Linked DNA regions of Arabidopsis thaliana. The protein of the gene in region 4 interacts with the protein of the main gene of each other region in a pairwise test. Each region holds a gene or a part of one and is shown on either strand. Other genes may lie near its edges. The genes, in order: UTR3, UBC32, ACBP6 and AT1G33100.

Region 1 (4,560 bases), 7.1 Mb from region 4:
TGTAAGCTTCGCACCTTCTTTGTTCATCATACAATACTTAGGCTTTGAAAAAACAATGAGTCTTAAAAGACTGATTGCTTTTGTAGGAGAGGAGCTTCCTGCTAAAAACACTAGGGATCGAGTCCTCATCTCCATGTCCAAGTGCTAATCCTTCAAAACCACCCCCTTGCAAAAGAGTCCTTCTCCATAGCTTGTAAACCAACCAACCATCTCTCTCATACCCTAAACCGCGGTTTAGTCTCCATGGAGACGTAATTTTTTCCACTTTTGCTTAGATTTCATATTAGGTTTTGCAGCCATATCGGCCTGGAAGTTTTTGTGAAGCGGGCATGCCATGATCTGCATTCCTCCCTCAAGGTTTTTAAGTTTCTTTCCTGGTCCTAGAATGTTAACGGTAACATTTTCTAGCCCCATCAAAGAATGTTCTCAAGAATCTGCCATATACTCAGATTCAGATTTCTCTTTCTTTTCTTACTTAACATAAGGAAGCCATCTACAAAAGAAGGCACCAGTGTGTCTTTAAGAAAAAATTCTTTGGTTTGTCTCTAAGGGCTTTACTCAGATACATCATCTGAGCATTTTCCCCAGATTTCTTGATTTGTTTTCATCATCTCTGTACAGAATCTCTATCACATATATATAAAGAAGTTTTCCAGAGTGTAACTTTAGGAAAAATGAAAAACTCAGAAGGAAGAGTTTGTTGTATTGTTAAGACAAATATATATGAGTGGAAATATATGATTTGTCTTTTGGTTTGATATATATAAGTTTCTTCTAATGCATTAGTTTACATTTTGCTAATGGACTAAGCTTTCTTCTCTCTAACTTTCAGACATATTTGGAAGTAAAAAGTTTCCAAATCAAAAACAATTTTCTTGAAGAATTAAATATTTTGATCCCCAATCTCAGCTTCAGGCCTTTTTCTTCTTCTGCATTCTCTGCAGCTTCCTCCATTTCAGGTAAATTTGGTAAGACAATCCACCGAACACCATCGACACACATCCCCATTGTTTGGAAGATAACGGATTCCCGCTCAAAACTGAAGATACCACGATGCTTACAAACTTCCTGGTTGTGGTTATGGTCGTGTTAGCTAGAGACCCGAATCTGCTTATTGTCAAGAAGATGAAGTTTTGGCCTACTGCACCGCATAAACAGTACATAAGAATGTCCCATGCTGCCTCAGGGTGTTGCTTGCAGAACTGCACAGCTTCAAATCCGCTCCCATGTGGCAATCCAAACATGTAGACCATGTTGTATATGGTTCCCCATAAATTCATTCCCAGCATTATGTCCCATGCGTTAGTTTTGGGGTACCTGTATCCATGTATGGCGATGATTAATGTCCAACATCTAGACCATGTTGTAGATGTCAGACTGGGTTAAGTATCTGACAGAATGTCAAGAGTCATACCTTGCGGTAATGGAATCCTGGGTTGCGTTTGTGAATCCATCAAAGGCAAGGTTTAAGAAGCAAAGCCCGTAACCAAGGGGTGCATTGGGATGTGCTAGCTTGCTGATGGTTTTAGAGCTTGTCTGTAAACCAAGTCAAAGACGGTTTACTACATTTCCACAGACAAAGTATAACAAAGATTATGATCAAAGTTCCTGAATGCAGATTTGCCTACCTTAAGAAGGGCAAACATAGATACTCCTCCGGCAACAAGAAAGGTGCAAAGATACTCAGGCAAAGTGTATCTTATGCCATAAACTAAGGAGCCCATCAGCATAACTACATGAAAGAAAAAACATATATAAGATACACATAGCAGCAGTTGAGAGCGATTATGGATTGATGCTCTAAATTGACACCTCACCTGGAATCATTTTGGAAGATTTTGCAAGGACCTGCAAGAAGCAAGTTTTGCATCAATATTACTTCCCAAGAAAGGTTATTACCTCAACTATCAACCATAATCAAGAAAAATGAGGTTTTTATTACACTAACAATGCCTAATTTACCTGAGCTGGGTAACTAATATACTTTAAAGCTTCAATGCCCATAGCAGGACCAATGGTATTAGTAATGCCAGCACTCCAATACGTCCACCATGGGGCTCCACCAGAACCTCCGTTGGACCAGAGCTTAATCACTGCTCATAATCAATCAAAAATACTTCAGTTCCATTTATTCGTCTGTTATAAACTTATAATTCTAAGGAATAAACAATGAAGATGCCCTACTCACTTATATAAGACCAAACCAAGCAGATTACATTCTGAGCCAAATTCAGAAATGCAAGATGCTCGAATCTCTTCCCATCTTCACCAAATTTCTTCGTCGACCTAATTCGAAAATGTTAGAGTTCTATCAGCTACATTTCTATAAATTTCCAATAATTGCAAACGCATCACCAACCAGGATTCCGAGAATAGAAACAATCTCGAACAAACAGAATCGAGCAATGTCGAGAGAAAATAATCAACGAGCTAAAATAAGATTGATCGATTTCGACCCTAACGAGTTTTACTTACAAGGTCTCTTGAAGAATGCCTTGGTATATGTAAGCTGCCCAGATCCCAGCGACACAGAACGACAATAACAGAACTCGCCGGAGACCGGAACCGTGAGATTCCATCGCCGCACGTCGCTTATTGTTTTATCCGACGGAGCTCCGGCGAAAATTTGAATTTCAATTTTACGCTATTTGATCAGTTTTGCGATCAAATTATGAGATCGGTCTGAAGTGGAAACGAAAGTTATTAGAGAGAGTGTAGGAGGCGCGAGAAAGACGTAGATTTTCCACGTGTAACTGTGTCATTGGCTTAATAATCTGACATGACACTTCTGATTGGCTATAGGACGTGGATTTATTTCTGGAATCCAAGTCATATGCACATTCATGTCTGAGATAGGAATGGGAACTATGTGCCGTTTTATTGTCATGAAAACGTCACGCAGTTTCCTAGAACTTGTAAACGGATGTTCTTTTTACAGCTTGGGCCTTAATTTGATTAAGCAAACTTGCACACAGCTAATCATGTCAGTTTGACTAACTGATGAATTCATACAAATCTAAGATCACTTGTGGTAAGAAAATGAAAGAAAAAGGCGTATATACACAAATGGAGGAAAGTTGCCAACATGATTTAATTGATTAAAATTTAGTGATGACCCATTGTTAAGATTACTAAAACAAAATATGATATATCTTAAAGTAAATGTGACAATAACGTCAACATAGCGAGAAAAGTTTGAAATATCGAATTTCCATTATATTAAAACAAGGTATCACATGCATGCACTCATGCATAGTTCATTATGATTTGAGTAATTTTCTATACGAATAATATTATACTATATCTCAATGAAAATAGAAGTTATATATATTGGGAAACGGAATTTATATGACATACTTAATCCTCATGGGAGAACCAATTATACATTTTGAAGAGTCAAAAGTCAAAACTCAAAAGAGTGACTCTTACCGGATACAAAATGAAAATAGAAGTCTTGGTGAGATAACAAATTAATGTGTAACATAACAATATAATATCATAAAAGATTCCAAATGGGGCTTTTGTCCACACGTGATATGCAATATGCAAAAGAAAAAAGAACTCTCTTTCGATCTGCCGGTCAATAACAATGTGAATATAGATTAACTGATTAATAAGTAGTTTCTTGGGTCAATGCATGGGATATTATATTTAAGAAATACACCAAAAATGTATTCGACGTTAGCCACCACGTTCCATTAAAAATTCAAATCTAAATGATGATTACCGTCGTCTACATCTATGATTACAAATTTTTTGTCTACTATGCGTTTAGTTATTTACCATGGTTTGACGATTATATATATAACACACATAAATTATGACGGTTTAACGTTGTCTCTTAACTCAAAACTTAATTTTACAAAAATATTATTTAAGAGTTGAATCTCATACTTTAATTATTCATTTGGTCAACTAGAATGCGAAAAATCCACAATACTTCGTAACTAATTTCGGGTCCTTTAAATCTTGATCACCTGTTGATCAACAAAAGATCTACACATAAAGATTGATTCATCCATTGACTAAACTTTTATTTATCGAAGAAAGACTATATATATCTAATGCATGCATGCCATATGCACAATAATCTAATAGTAAATCCAATACGTCTCAGAAAGATAAAATCGTCCATAATACCAAATTTTATTCTAAGGTTTTGATATCTCTCATAATTTGGAAGTGTATGTAAAAGTTTCTTAAACATAAATATAACATCCAAAGAAAAGTTGTAAACACTTAACATCTTGATTGAAGGGGAATCTCGCTAATAATTGTGACTGAACGATAGTAAGTATTATTGTAAAATATCGATCAAAATTTCAACGATATGGGCGATCCAGACCCACCACTTTGTTGTCCCTTAGCAGACGTCAACCATGACCATAATTAGTTAAAAAAAACACCAAACAAAAACCACAACTTCCTTTTAATTCTTTTTAAATTCTAAATTTCAGACTAACAAAAAGTATTCATAAGCTGTTTCATGTATGAATTTAATATCATGAATACTAATAACTTGAGCCATTAACTTTAACCAAAAAAAAAAACTTGAACAAT
Region 2 (4,972 bases), on a different chromosome or scaffold from region 4:
TCCCTATATCTCTCTCTCTGGTGTTATAAATGGGCAAAAGTGAGTATCCAAATATGTATGCTTCTTTTCATTAAAAACGAGTCAAGGTTATAATAGTGGAAAAAGCAGTCACGTTCCCATAAATCAAAGTGTTTTTTTATTTTATAGTAATAGGCAGATGAAACAATTGCTGTTAAAAATCTGACTTCAAAGACACGCAAAAGCAGTGTTTGCTAGTTTTAGTACCTGAGGATCCCTGAGCAATAAGGACTGATAGACTTTTAACTTAGCTTCTTTTGCCACCATCCCTTCTTTTTTAAAAAAATATTATTTTCATTACGATCAACTTCATTTATTAATTTGAACCTTCGGTAACTTTTTCTCTTTTTAACGTTATATGGCAGTCAAAGGTCAAAGTTGATAACCTTTTCTAAACTGAAAAGTAAAAAAATAAGGTACAAGATGAGATCACACCAAACTAATGTGTGCAGAAGATACCCCAAAACTAATATGTTTCTGTAATTTATAATGAAAATACACACAAATATATAAACCACACGACTCACTACATGTGTGTTCATATACATACATATATGATCAAATTGTTAAACTTGACCATGAAATCTATTGATTTAAAAATTTGGATACATTTTAGACATCATGTACTCAAAACGGGAAATAGTTATGAACATAGTGGAGGTAATCAACAATTCTATTAACAAAGCATCAATGTATTGATAAAACGGTCGTCAGTGTTCAATTCCAAAATACATATTGTTAACTTGGTCACAAGCTATAATCCAATCTATCAACTAAGTTGCAAGACAATGTCACACAGAAATTATTTACGCCATTATGCACTTTAATTATATTTATAAAATATTAAACAACACAACCCCATTTCTTAAACGCAGCATTGACTTTCATCAGAGTTCAAGACTGATCATCCATAAACCCAGTACTGTAACCATTTGATTTTATGAACTTCTTCAGAAGAAGAACCATGATAGCGATTGTGAGCCCAACCGCCGCCCACGTGAAGAGTCTGTCATCGACTGGCTTCTGAGCCGCTCTTCTGGCCATCCTTTGCTCACCACTTACAGAAGCTTTGACCACAACTTCAACCGCTGGTAAAGGTGCTGCAGCGGGAACCACACTAGCTGCTGTATTGACTGCTTCAGCTGTCTCTTCTATGATTTGATCATCAACTATGGTGTCTGTTGTAGCGATGGACCGCTCTTCTACTACAGTTATCGCTTCCTGTGGCTCAACTTGGGAGTGAGCTTCTGATACGATGGAAGGTGCTTGGCTACATTCCAGAGGAAGAGGTTTTGGAACCACGGTTGCTTTGCTAAGGATGTACTGATGAATCTGCGCTTGTTAAAAGGTCATGGTTACTAAAAGTTTTTTCCAAAATTGAAGATGAATCAGAGGTATGAAACTAAAGTCATAACAAAAATCATGAAGAAAGGGACGAGAGTTTAGACCAAAAGGAGATTGTTAACACTACTATTGTCTTTTTTTTTATATTTGTGCAACTGACTACTTTTTAAAAACGACAATAATCAGTAAAATGGTGTGTTAGGACTTGAGCAGCAAATTTTACTGTATGGAGAGAATAATAACAGCTGTGATTGCAGTTAAAACAAAGCAGATACTCTTAGAGCAAACATTAAATCATAACCGCTAGAGATATGCAAGCCTAATATATAATATATTGCGATCCCGTTTTGACCACCAGCTAGTCCTATGGTTTATAATGATGCAATGCAATGGTATGGCACATACTCTACAGGTTCAGCAAGCATCTAGCTAAATTCATATATTTTCATCAGGATATTATGCATAGTGGTTCAACACCCAAGGGTATTCTAGTGGGGAACTATACCTCATCAATAATTTTTTGCCGTTCAGGAGAGCCATACTTAGGTGGTGTCTCACGTGATTTAATGGCTAGTGTACGTCTCTCATCCTTTGGATAATCTACTGAGCCCAGTGCTCCATTGGGACTTGTGGGCATAAATGCAATGAGAGCCACCAAAGCAGTCCGAACTGAAAAGAAACAAAGCTCAATCATAATACAAAAGAGCTGATATAGTTCAACCTCATGTAAATTACAAGTGTCTGAGTAATCTTTTAGGAAACAACATAAAAGTCAAGAGATAAGGTCTCTTGAGATCCATGACTTTACCACTCCATGAAGGTTGCCAATGCTCAGGGTGGTAGTTTGAAATGCTCAAGCAAATCTTGGTGTTAGTTTCAAAGCGCCCGTTAGGCTGAAACAAAAGTACAGAGATTCTTTAGATACATACTCTCTTATGGAACTTGCAACATCTGTGTGTTTTTATATATGAAATAAGAGTAAGATCCTTACGGTCAATAACATGAATGAAGGAGGTTTGAATGGATAATCTGCAGGCAACTGAATTCTCCCATGATAAATCCCGCCCTCGAATTCAGTATCACCAGGACCTCGGATGGCGAATTGCCACTCAAAGATATTCTCCTGAAGTTAAAAGATAGATAAGAGTAATCATGTAAACTATTTGGTATCACACAAGAACTTGTAAAAAACAGCTATAACATCGCGCGCAATCTATTTGGACCATGACATGTTGGAAAAAGTCTTCACAGTTAAAAAAATTAGAAACGAAGAACTAGTATGACAGCTGAGTGGATCAAGGAATCGTTCGTAATCTTCCCCACTTGACTCAGTTATTCCAATAAAAACACAAAAATCCAAACTTTATCTGTTGCACGAGTGTTGAAAGTAGAGAGACTTAGTAAATTCAGTGTATACAAGAAGATATATCGATCCTCCCTAATCATGATCGCCTAAAATCAAACACCATCACTCAGAACAGATACACAATTACAACACAACACAACATAACACAACAACATAAGACAAGGGGATTTTCTCAAAAAAGGAAATTTCAAATATAGATTCGAATCAAAATTCCCGATCTAAAAAGCTAGAATCGGAGATGTTACCTCAAGAGGAAGAGACATAAAATCATCAGACGGATTAGCTTGCATCTCCTTAACCTCCTGCAAAATCCTCTTCACCGCCGGATTCTTCCGATTATACCTCTCATCCGCCATCTTATTTATCCCCACGAGATCTTGCCGGAAGTGCAATCCGCCGCCGGAGTTCTCTCTGTCCGATTCGTCTTAACAGAAAATAATAAATACACAAAATTAGAATTACCACATGGCTTCGGGAGATGAGCTAATTAGTACGGTGATATAATACAAACACACAAAATTAATTCCAAAACATTTTCCACGTCACACTCTTTAACGACGGATACGTGACGTGAGAGAGCTTCTGAGTAAGTGCCACGTAATTAATAAACTTTAGTCATCCAAACATCTCAACGGTTCAGAAACTGTCACGTAATCTGAGAAATTTAAGCGCCTCTTTACAGCCGTCGATTTGGGAGAATCATTAAGCTATCGTGGCGAGACTTTAATAGGCCTTGGCCCATTAATTTAAAGCCCAATGAAACGTGCACGTCACAGACAACAGAAAATCAAAGCGTTGACAGTGAATCGGTGAAGAAGAAGAGTCTTGAGTCTTGAGTCTTGAGAGAAAGGAAGAAGAAGCAATTTCAATGGAGAAGAGAGGGGTGATCGACACATGGATTGATAAGCACCGTTCGATCTATACGGCGGCTACACGTCATGCTTTTGTCGTCTCGATCCGTGACGGATCCGTTGATCTCTCGTCCTTCAGAACTTGGCTGGTACTGTAATTAGTAATTACTGATGAAAACAAGGCAAAATATGAAATCTCACTCGATGACTTTTAAACGACGTTGTTTCCTTGTAGGGGCAAGATTATCTGTTCGTGAGGAGGTTTGTGCCGTTTGTAGCGAGTGTGTTGATCAGAGCTTGCAAAGATTCCGGCGAGAGTTCCGATATGGAAGTGGTGCTTGGTGGTATAGCATCGTTGAATGATGAAATAGAATGGTTTAAAAGAGAAGGATCGAAATGGGATGTTGATTTCTCGACCGTTGTGCCTCAAAGAGCTAATCAAGAATATGGCAGGTTATTGATTTCATATATGCTGATTGAATAGATTTCTCACACTCGAAAATGAAATTAGGAACCAGCAAATAAACCGGAGTTTCTGGTTAATTCAGGTTTTTGGAAGATCTGATGAGCAGTGAGGTGAAGTATCCGGTGATTATGACAGCTTTCTGGGCAATTGAAGCAGTGTATCAAGAGAGCTTTGCTCATTGTTTAGAAGACGGGAACAAAACTCCGGTGGAGCTTACCGGTGCTTGTCATCGTTGGGGGAATGACGGGTTTAAACAGTATTGTTCGTCTGTCAAGAACATTGCCGAACGTTGTCTGGAGAATGCCTCCGGTGAGGTGCTCGGTGAAGCTGAAGATGTACTTGTACGAGTTCTTGAACTAGAGGTTGCCTTCTGGGAGATGAGCCGTGGAGGACAGTAGCTAATGTTTGGGTTTGAATTTCTCATTTCCTCTAAATGCCAAAGAGAAACAAGTTCCAATCTTTATGTTTGGTGAAACACAAGTTGAGATTATGGTTTCATAACAGATTACATGAATACGGATTTGTCTCTGACTGGGGCAGAAGGTTGTTCCCGTCATTCCACATATTACACTTACTGGTAACTACATCAACTCCTAAAACTCTTAAGAACTCACCAATTGAAACCGAAAAGCTCTTTATTCTCTCCAGCGATGACCACAATTCGGGTTGCAACAGACAAAGAACAGTGTCATTCCTTCTTCACCTCTAGCCGTAGCCTGCACATTCAATGATAGCTACATTAAATCCTCAAGCGGTGTACAGAATTTGAGCATAATGTTTTGGGGAAGCAAACAGTGAAGATACAGCATAACCAAGTAGTTAAATAAATAATGGAGCTTAAGAGAGTTATACCTGGAAGAAAACGGCCTCCCTATGCTGACACTTAGAGCAACGCACAGCCTTGGTTCGGGGAAGAGTAGGGTCAGA
Region 3 (3,747 bases), 590 kb from region 4:
CCATCGTCGTCTTCCTCGGCGAGAGCGATCGATGTGAAGAGGATCTTCGTTTTGTTATTAGAAGCTTTGATTGAGATCAATGCGAATCTCACGAATGATTTGAGAGAAAGAGCTAGGACTATTGCTTATGATTGGAAACCAAATATAGGTAACAAACCATCAGAAGCGTTAGGGTTTTTGCATTTGGTTGCAGCTTTTGAATTAGGGTCTTTATTTAGTACTGAGGAGATTTGTGATTACATTTTCTTGATCTCTAAGTATAAACAAGCAACAACGATCTGCAAGAAGATTGGTTTAGATAGAAATCGAATAGGAGTTCTCGTTCAGAAGTTTTTGGATACTGGGAGATTACTTGTTGCTATTAGATTCATTTACGAGAATGAGATGGTGGGTGAATTTGAACCAGTTTCGATTTTGAAAACTAGTTTGAAGAACTCTAGAGAAGCTGCTAAGAGAGTTTGTGCTGAAGGGAATTACTCTCTTAAGGTGCAGAACGAAGCTACTGATAAAGAACTAAGTGCTTTGAGAGCAGTTATCAAAGTCGTGAAAGAGAAAAACATCGAGTCCGAGTTCATGGAAGAGAAACTCGAAGAATGTGTTAAGGAGTTGGAGGATCAGAAAGCTCAGAGGAAGCGTGCCACTAAGTTCAATTCACCTGCTAATCCCCAACAACCACAAGAACAAAAGGTCGATAATAAGCGTCCTCGAGTTGCTAATGGTTCAAGTATGGAATATAATTTGACAATCCCACCTCTGAGGCCGCAACAACAACCACCACTTTTGCCTACTCCTAGTCAGATTTTACAAGTGAACCCATATGGTCTTTTAAGCTCAATACTTCCTGGTGTTGCTGTCCCATATGGCAACCCAAGGGCTCTATTTGGCTCGGTTCCAGCTCCAGCTTCTCGACCCGTCTTTTATGTGCAGCAAACTGGTTATGGGATGCCACCACCTCAGTACCGCCCACCGTACTATCCTCAGTAGCATCTCTCTATTGGTAAGATTTATTATAGGAATGCAAGCGATATTGAGAAGATTTCTGCTCGAACAGGTCTATGCTCTCTATGTGTTTTTGATGTTCAGTAATGAATATCAAGTAAATTTCGAGAGTTTTGACATAGATAACACTTGATATAGTCGCTGTTTGGGGGATAACATAAGAGCAAATTGATCCGTTTTTTCTTTTTTTGTTTACCTGGTGAAGCGACTATAGAGGATTTTGCCTTGATTGTACAGTTTTATAACCTAACCTTAACCTCTTTTTAATTTAGTTTAGTTTACTTGTGGAGGAATGGTCTTTATGGTTTTGATCTAACATTTATATTCCTTGATTTGTTAGGTAATCTTCCAAGATTTCCTCCCTTTTTTCTTATAATCACCAAAGATCCCTTTTGGTTTGATTTGTTGTAGTGGGAAGAAATCTACGTGTCTGGATATCTAAAATGATCCAAAGGATAATATTCAACTAGCACAGAAACAGAAATAGTTTTTTTTTCATTAAACTATTTAAGTTTACAAAAGGATATGCTTATGGTTTTTCTGATGGAACAGAAAATTAATATTGTCATTTCAATGGAGAAGGAACATGTTCGATGAGCAAAAAAAAGAAAAAACAGAACATGTTCTTTGTTTTACAGTTGTACCCATACTGATCAGAATAAGCCAATCAACGGGGTGTCTGAATCCACGTATACAGTATCTATCTCTAAAAATATTTATTTCCTTTAAAGAAAATATTTAATAGTTATGGCTTATGGGCCTGAGAGGTTTATCATGACGCCCATATATATCTCACGCGTTGTCCTCGTCTTCTCCGTCTTACACTGATTTAATTCTCCTACCAATCTCAACTTCCGACGTCTATTCATCATGGGTTTGAAGGTACGTTCAGATCCAAAATGAACCAAACCGATCTCGGTTTCGGTTTATTACTACTCGGATCTTAGTTTTGTTTGTGTTCACCATTCCTGAATTCTATATTTTCTGTGTTGGTAGCCTTGTTTGATCCAGATTTGCAGATATATAGGTTCCTTATAGTTACGAAATTGAAGCTTGTATAGTCAAGAATGATCACTTTATGGAATTGAATTATTACTGATCACGCTTTTTCTCTGTATGATTTTGTCCATTTACTGTTCTTATAACTGATTTGTTAAACACTGTTTGCTGATGGGTAATATAGTTTTGAATCTGAGCTAGGTTTGGTTTTATTGAGTTTTGTTTGATTATTGTATCCCGATTGAGAATTTTAAGTAGTAATATGTTTGATGGTGTATTAGGCTATTAAGAATCTTTTCTTCGAATTTGTTGTTTCACTGATTTATATATCTGCAGGAGGAATTTGAGGAGCACGCTGAGAAAGTGAATACGCTCACGGAGTTGCCATCCAACGAGGATTTGCTCATTCTCTACGGACTCTACAAGCAAGCCAAGTTTGGGCCTGTGGACACCAGTTAATATTTTTGTCTGAATATTAACATCCTCTATTTTTGCTTCTTAGTTCACTTTTCTGTAATGTTGTTAATAATGTGTATTTGTTTATTGATTGATTCAAAGGTCGTCCTGGAATGTTCAGCATGAAGGAGAGAGCCAAGTGGGATGCTTGGAAGGCTGTTGAAGGTACAAAAACAATTCAAGTGATCAACTTTTTTAGCTTAGTGATTTGTTTGTAATTTGGATTCTTGTCTCAAGTTCAACAATTTTTTGTGCTTGGGGAATTGAATTTGAACTTTTCTTTGTTTATGATGTCAGGGAAATCATCGGAAGAAGCCATGAATGACTATATCACTAAGGTCAAGCAACTCTTGGAAGTTGCTGCTTCCAAGGCTTCAACCTGATGAATCAAATCCTCATCTGCAGTAACTTTATCTTAAGCATCAAAATAACATTGCATAAGACTTGTTCTTGCTCTTGTGTTTCTATCATATTTAAGCTATCTACTTTGTGACATGGTGTGATCTCTTAAAAATGCTTGATATTGGTTAAAACAGAGAATCATGATGCAAACTAAATCCATAAGTTATTTTTGGTCCGTCCTCGATATGGTCTTAGTTAAAACAGTTGAATTCAAGATGATATATTCGTTCTGGTCCGTAGGTCTTTTTCTTCATGGTCCATCGCATTCACCACTCACTAGAAAACTTTCGTTTTATTTCAATTTGGAGTACATAAGACAAAAGCTGGAAAAAAAAAGAACGTGGCAGATTTTTTATTTATTTTTTTCGTCTCGAACATTGGCAGAATTGTTCAAATTGTATGTGGTTTATTTAAAGTCAAATTCGTAAATAAATAGACGTTTAGTTTTAAAGTGTCTACAAATTTGAGGTTTATAATTTGGTAGATGACAAAAACAATAGTTTTTTTATTGAGTTGATCATAATTACTTTTATTTTTTATTGATTGTAGATTAACTTCCTTCCCTTAATGATAATCTCTTAACCGTGATTCAAGAAATTAAATAATATTGTAGAATATTAAAATAATTAATTGTATGTTGAACATACTAATATTTAGTATTATGATAATCTCTTTATCAAAATTATACATCTAGAATTTTTATATTAAATGCATTGTGTTTTTCAATTGAAAATTAAACGATATAAATATATAGTATATGCACTTTAACATAACAAATTCTTTTATATATTTTAATATAAGTGAAATAATTAATCTATATATACATTTTTGTAGGAGGTTTTTGAAGATAATGTTGAAGATGTGAACCATAATTCAACAATTAATTCAAAT
Region 4 (6,532 bases):
TTATACTAACTCGACTCTTAAGTTAAAATATGGTATGAGTATAAATAGAGTAACATACAAATTATAATATTTTACAAATCGACTAATCTTTTCCATTTCTTTTTTGCAGCATCAACGTAAATGCACTGCAGATGATGATAGCACTTGGGTTTTTGGCAGCAGTAAGGTGCATTGATATATATACTATACACAGATACACTTCACTTCACTGATACTAATTATATCTTATCTTTTTTTTTCTTGGTATGATCTTAATATTATTTATATATCACTCTTCTATGTAATTATCTCTATATATAGTGTAAGAGTGTCCAACGAGCTCGGTAGGGGAAACCCCGAAGGCGCCAAATTTGCAACAATCGTAGCGGTTTTCACGTCACTCTCTATAGGATTAGTTCTATTCTTCGTCTTCTTGTTTCTAAGGGGAAGAATTTCGTACATTTTCACTACAAGTGAAGCTGTGGCAGCCGAAGTCGCTGATCTTTCTCCACTTTTAGCATTTTCCATCCTCTTGAACAGTGTTCAACCCGTTCTCTCAGGTATATACATTAGCTAGTTCAAGCGTGATGGTTATCATCGTATCGAATTCGAACTGATATTTGAAACGTAGTATATGCCTTTAATTGGTTTCAAACCTTATCAGGAGTGGCAGTGGGAGCGGGATGGCAAGGATATGTGGCTTACATTAACCTTGCTTGCTATTACCTTCTCGGAATTCCTGTTGGTCTTGTCCTTGGTTACGTTGTTGGTTTGCAAGTCAAAGTAAGTTTTTCTCTTTATATATTTTTTCTTCATAATGAACAAAAGTAATAAAATTAACAATTGAAAACAACATAAAACTTTACTTATCTTTTTTTGAAGGGTGTATGGATAGGAATGCTTTTTGGAATATTTGTTCAGACTTGTGTGCTTACCATCATGACTCTCAGAACAGATTGGGATCAACAGGTTTAAATAAACAAAATTGTAGTTTCCCCTTCCAAAATAATTAGTTTGTTCAAGCAAGCTATGTTATTGGTTTGGAGCTTAATTATATTGTTTGTTGCCACTTTTTTCTGTAGGTATCTACGTCGTTGAAAAATATAAACCGGTGGGTTGTACCAGAATCTAGAGATGCAAATCAAATTTCATCAGAGGAATAATTCGTTTGGATTATGATATGAACAAAGATATTATATAATTATGATGTTATTTTGGGCAATAGTTCTTTCTAACTCAGATTTTCAATATGAAATAAATTTTGATGGTAATTTATTAGGCTTTTTGTTGTTGTTGTTGTTGTTGTGGTACAATGAAAAAAGAGAGTACAATCTATATAATTTATTATAATCAAAGAAGAGGATAACTAAAATTTATTAATGAGCTATTTAAAAGATAAAATCCCTTTTAGTTCTTTAATTTCACCAACATGTTAACTCATAGTAAAATTAAACTTTGGTAGAATTTTGAGATATACTAGTTATTGAAATAGTGCGAATTAGGGTATGACCAATAAAAAGAAGAGAGTACCTTTGGAATTTTGGGGAAATTTGTGTGCTTACTACTATGATGACACTAAAAGAGATTAAAATAATCATGTTTTATAAACTGATTACCATTTAAAAAAAATGAAATTTCTTCGTTTATCATAGGAAAAGTACAAACATGTTTAAAGAAATTATATTGGTAATTATTTTTAAAAGATCTTCGTGGCTAAAACGTTAAATTGATTGATTCATTTTGACAAAGAAAAATAAACGTTTGATTCTGGAAATCCTCATAATAAATATATACGACAATCTTAATTCACTAAAAATTGTAATTGCTTACGTTGCTTAGAACAAGAATTTGACTATTGTAGTTTGATATGCTCGTTTCTTGATTTTTTTTTTATATTTTTATTTTTTTTAAATGGGTTTATTATGCAACACATAGACACGAGACTCACGACCAAGAAATATGTATATGAATAATTATATTTTTGATAAAAATATTTTGTTTTATTCCAATATACTTTCCAAACACACACTTTTTAAGCATATATAAAGATAAAGTTTAGATATGAATTATAGATAATTGCATTTAAACAAATGATCGATGAATGCACGATCTTAGGTGATCTTAAAATGCATCTATTTCTTAGAGTATTTTCATCACTTAGTCACTCACTGCTACAAAAGGCGTTGACGACCTTTTGTTTCCCAGCTGAAATATAAAAAAAATTGCTTCTTAAACTCAAACTCTCTGCTCTCTCTTTCTTCTATTTATTTCCTCCTATCAGATAAAAACACATAGACTCCACGATGGCCGGAAGAGGAGGAGAGCTCACGGAGGCTCTGGTGAAAAAGACCGGCAGAGAAGAAGAGGATGAGTTGGGGATGAAGGAGAAGGTTTGGATTGAATCAAAGAAACTGTGGGTTGTGGCGGCGCCAGCGATCTTCACAAGATACTCTACGTTCGGAGTTTCAATGGTAACTCAAGCTTTCATTGGCCATCTTGGCCCAACCGAGTTGGCCGCTTACTCTATCACCTTCACCATTCTCCTCCGTTTCAGTAATGGTATCTTGGTGAGTTTACTATAGCGATCTTGGTAATGGTATACGTAGCTTCATTTATATCAATTTTTCCAATTTTATTTAATCTAATGAATCCCTTGATTACTATGGATTCTTCTCCGCTTCAGTAATGGTATCGTGGTGGTGAGTACTACTTCAATTTTTATTTAATCTAATCTCTTGATTATTAGTGATTAAGAAATAACTATATTACAAGGTCAGACCATGTAGGTGAAAATTAAAAAAAAAAAACATGTAGGTGAATTTATGCTATAACTAAGTTGCATGGAAACGGAAACAGAAACGCGGATGCGAAACGTTTCAGAAACGGGAATCAATTTTTTATTAAAATTAGAGATTAGAAACGTTTTAAAAACATATAAATATATATATATATATACATAAAACTATATTAAATAAAAAATGATTTAAACAATATAAGTCTAAACTATCAATATTAAATAAGCTAACTAAAATTCTAAAAGATAAAGATTAAAATTTAAAAGATTCAAATTTTAATATCTAATTTAGACCAACATTTTTATTCTTATTTTCATTAGTTTCATCAAAGATAATATAAAACTCTCTTCAAATCTGGTTTATCAAGAAAAAAATCTTAAAACTAAGAGTTTTCCAAAATTAGTTATATGTATTAATAATCTTAATATTTCCAATTTTAGTTATTAAATTTTCAAAGTCAATAAAAAATATTTGTCGTATGTCTATTTCAAAAACGCGAGTTTTCATCGTGTTTCCAAACATGGATTTTTAGGAAACGCGTTTCCGTAATAATTTTTGCGTTTCCGAAACGTTTTCAAAATAAGTTAGACCAAAACTATATTATAAAATTTGGTCTCACTTATTTGAATTTTTAATACAGATTAGGTGGTCGTGTGAAGAAACTATTATCAAACTCAATTAAAATTTGTATAAGTTTATATGGTTTTGGAGTATTTTTTGGATATGTAATTCCGGTTAACATTTATTTTGAAACTACACAATGCAAAACTACAGCTGTCTCAAATTTGGTTATAACTATTGTTCTACTGCAGTTAGGTATGGCCGGTGCACTAGGAACATTATGTGGTCAAGCCTACGGAGCCAAACAATACCAGATGCTCGGGATCTACCTCCAAAGGTCATGGATCGTCCTCACAGGTGGTACCATTTGCCTCATGCCCGTCTTCATCTTTGCGGGCCCTATCCTCTTAGCTTTAGGTCAAGAGGAACGCATTGTTCGTGTGGCTCGGGTCTTAGCCCTATGGGTCATAGGCATCAACTTCTCCTTCGTGCCCTCCTTCACTTGCCAAATGTTTCTCCAAGCTCAGAGCAAGAACAAGATTATTTCCTACGTGACTGCTGTCTCCTTAGGGCTCCATGTCTTCTTCTCGTGGCTCCTAGTGGCTCATTTCAATTTTGGGATCACTGGTGCGATGACCTCTATGCTAATTGCGTTCTGGTTGCCTATCATTGTGCAGCTCTTGTATGTAACATGTGGTGGATGTAAGGATACATGGAGAGGATTCTCTATGTTGGCCTTCAAAGATTTGTGGCCCGTCTTAAAACTATCTTTGTCTTCCGGTGGAATGCTTTGGTAAGGTTTCCTATTTTTGTTTTGTGTTTTGAACACTTAATTAAGGAATTAGCTAGTAGTGGATCAACCAAATGTTTTCATACTGATAGCTTTAGTTTTCATTGTCATTGTTGGTCAAAACAAGAGATTGGTTCCACTTGATGCATATACTTAGTCCATGTATTAGTTTTCAGGCTGTAAACTATATAATATAATTATCAATCTTGTAGGATTTGATCCGACTGTTACATTTACGCATATACTCCTGAGAATGTTAGGAGTATATTATACACACTTTTAGGAGTATATTTTTTTTTTGGTGAATTACTTTTAGGAGTATATTATATTCACTGATAATTTAATGATAGTTCTAGTTACTTTTTTCTTTTGTTTTTTTTTTTCTTTCTAATTTACTTATCTTTTTAAAAATTGATGATGATTACTTTGTGGTCGTTATTTTTTACAGCTTGGAGTTATGGTACAACTCGGTATTGGTATTGCTCACTGGAAATTTGAAAAACGCAGAGGTGGCTCTTGATGCACTAGCAATCTGGTAAATAAACAAGAATTGACCTTCTATATCTATTCTGATCTCCATACAAAACATTGAAACATAAATACATTTTCTTTAGTACTAACTTGACTCATAAGTTATAGTATTGTATGAGTAATGGTACATACAAATAATATATTATAAATCGACTAATCTTTTCCATTTATCTTCGCAGCATCAGCATAAATGCACTGGAGATGATGATAGCACTTGGGTTTTTGGCAGCAGTAAGGTGCATTGATACATATATAGATTATATACAACACACTTCACTTTATTGATACTATTTCTATATTATCTTTTTTTCTTGGTATGATCTTTTATTTATATATCATCTTATTTGTAATTATCTATATAAATAGTGTAAGAGTGTCCAACGAGCTCGGTAGTGGAAACCCCAAAGGAGCCAAGTTTGCAACATTGATAGCGGTTTTCACGTCACTCTCTATAGGAATAGTTCTATTCTTCGTTTTTTTGTTTTTGAGGGGAAGAATTTCCTACATTTTCACTACAAGTGAAGCTGTCGCGGCCGAAGTTGCTGATCTTTCTCCACTTTTAGCATTTTCCATCCTCTTGAACAGTGTTCAACCTGTTCTCTCTGGTATATATTTTAGCTAGTTGACGCGTAATGGTTATTATAGTATCGGATTCGAACCAATATTTGGAGTAGTATTTATCTATAATTGGTTTAAAACCTTAACAGGAGTGGCAATCGGAGCGGGATGGCAAGGATATGTGGCTTACGTTAACCTTGCTTGCTATTACCTTGTCGGAATTCCTATTGGTGTTATCCTTGGTTATGTTGTTGGTTTGCAAGTGAAAGTAAGTTTTTCAGTTTATATATTTTTCTTTTATGTTGAAAAGTAATAAAACTAACATAAAACTTTACTTCTTTAATTTTGAAGGGTGTATGGATAGGAATGCTTTTTGGAATATTCGTTCAGACTTGTGTGCTCACCGTCATGACTCTCAGAACAGATTGGGATCAACAGGTCAGAAGTTGATTACTATATAATATTCCCTGAATTAATTTGTTTAAGAAAAAAAATTGTAGTTTCTCCTTCCAAAATAATAAGTTTGTTCCTTAGCAAAAATAATAATTAGTTTGTTCAAGCAAGCTATGTTCTTGGATTGCAGCTTATACTGTTTGTTGCCACTTTTTTGTAGGTATCTACGTCGTTGAGAAATATAAACCGGTGGGTTGTACCAGAATCTAGAGATGCAAATCAAATTTCATCAGAGGAATAATTAATTTGGATTATGATATGAAGATATGATAGATTTAAAGATTATGATGATGTTCCTTTTTTATGAAATGTGAAAAAAAAAATTGATAAAAAATAAAGGTTGTTTACAGAAGTTTTTAAGGAGCTTGTGAATTACACAAAAACAAGAGCATACAAAGAAAAAACAGACCTTCACGTTACGGTCCATTAAATCTTGAACTGAACCACCGTAGCAACAGCCCTCTTAGCTTCCAATTTTCGTAGTACCTCAAAGACATGATTTAGCTTAGAGATTTTTATCTGAATATAATCAGCTTAGTGTTGAATTTGAGTTATATATACTCTTTTTCTCTCGGTGTTCTATTGTATTATGTCATTATGTGTGTAGAACTAGAATCGTCTCCTTTGCCCGTAAACATAGCCAAAATATTGTTAGTACCAAGAAACGTAAATTTGGCCATGCATATATATATAATTTACTCCATTTGTTACTACAGTTTTTTGGATTTGTTTGGTGACTTTAAAAATGTTTTCATGTTCGTGACCTCATGATGATGATTGATCGATTGTGAAAAAAGGACAGCTTTTGTAAGGAAATACCGATCTAATACTACAGTGACGCGACTGCTTACGTAGACTTCTTTGC

The links.
Region 1: the proteins of AT1G33100 (region 4) and UTR3 interact in a protein complementation assay, tested with the Arabidopsis thaliana proteins (one large-scale study listed by BioGRID).
Region 2: the proteins of AT1G33100 (region 4) and UBC32 interact in a protein complementation assay, tested with the Arabidopsis thaliana proteins (one large-scale study listed by BioGRID).
Region 3: the proteins of AT1G33100 (region 4) and ACBP6 interact in a protein complementation assay, tested with the Arabidopsis thaliana proteins (one large-scale study listed by BioGRID).

What each region holds. Positions count from the first base shown.
Region 1 is NC_003070.9:4,910,451-4,915,010, forward strand, and holds UTR3 (UDP-galactose transporter 3), read right to left. Parts: upstream 2,718-4,560; 5' UTR 2,580-2,717; coding exon 2,476-2,579; intron 2,287-2,475; coding exon 2,189-2,286; intron 2,094-2,188; coding exon 1,963-2,093; intron 1,849-1,962; coding exon 1,818-1,848; intron 1,733-1,817; coding exon 1,629-1,732; intron 1,537-1,628; coding exon 1,415-1,536; intron 1,318-1,414; coding exon 912-1,317; 3' UTR 643-911; downstream 1-642. Other genes in the region: FLP (Duplicated homeodomain-like superfamily protein), read left to right, coding at 1-1, 87-197. UniProt on the Arabidopsis thaliana protein: Essential sugar transporter required for the transport of UDP-glucose from the cytoplasm into the Golgi and the endoplasmic reticulum. Essential for pollen development and involved in embryo sac progress.
Region 2 is NC_003074.8:5,795,408-5,800,379, reverse strand, and holds UBC32 (ubiquitin-conjugating enzyme 32), read right to left. Parts: upstream 3,451-4,972; 5' UTR 3,085-3,450; coding exon 2,974-3,084; intron 2,486-2,973; coding exon 2,354-2,485; intron 2,256-2,353; coding exon 2,171-2,255; intron 2,032-2,170; coding exon 1,868-2,031; intron 1,351-1,867; coding exon 913-1,350; 3' UTR 633-912; downstream 1-632. Other genes in the region: AT3G16990 (heme oxygenase-like, multi-helical), read left to right, coding at 3,597-3,728, 3,815-4,032, 4,128-4,443; NRPB9A (RNA polymerases M/15 Kd subunit), read right to left, coding at 4,681-4,761, 4,898-4,972. UniProt on the Arabidopsis thaliana protein: Accepts the ubiquitin from the E1 complex and catalyzes its covalent attachment to other proteins.
Region 3 is NC_003070.9:11,410,222-11,413,968, reverse strand, and holds ACBP6 (acyl-CoA-binding protein 6), read left to right. Parts: upstream 1-1,735; 5' UTR 1,736-1,869; coding exon 1,870-1,881; intron 1,882-2,334; coding exon 2,335-2,452; intron 2,453-2,556; coding exon 2,557-2,619; intron 2,620-2,751; coding exon 2,752-2,837; 3' UTR 2,838-3,203; downstream 3,204-3,747. Other genes in the region: FRL2 (FRIGIDA like 2), read left to right, coding at 1-984. UniProt on the Arabidopsis thaliana protein: Binds medium- and long-chain acyl-CoA esters with very high affinity. May function as an intracellular carrier of acyl-CoA esters. Confers resistance to cold and freezing.
Region 4 is NC_003070.9:11,995,401-12,001,932, forward strand, and holds AT1G33100 (MATE efflux family protein), read left to right. Parts: upstream 1-2,099; 5' UTR 2,100-2,282; coding exon 2,283-2,546; intron 2,547-3,586; coding exon 3,587-4,128; intron 4,129-4,573; coding exon 4,574-4,660; intron 4,661-4,835; coding exon 4,836-4,892; intron 4,893-5,022; coding exon 5,023-5,261; intron 5,262-5,363; coding exon 5,364-5,482; intron 5,483-5,565; coding exon 5,566-5,652; intron 5,653-5,827; coding exon 5,828-5,908; 3' UTR 5,909-6,021; downstream 6,022-6,532. Other genes in the region: AT1G33090 (MATE efflux family protein), read left to right, coding at 110-166, 301-539, 644-762, 862-948, 1,062-1,142.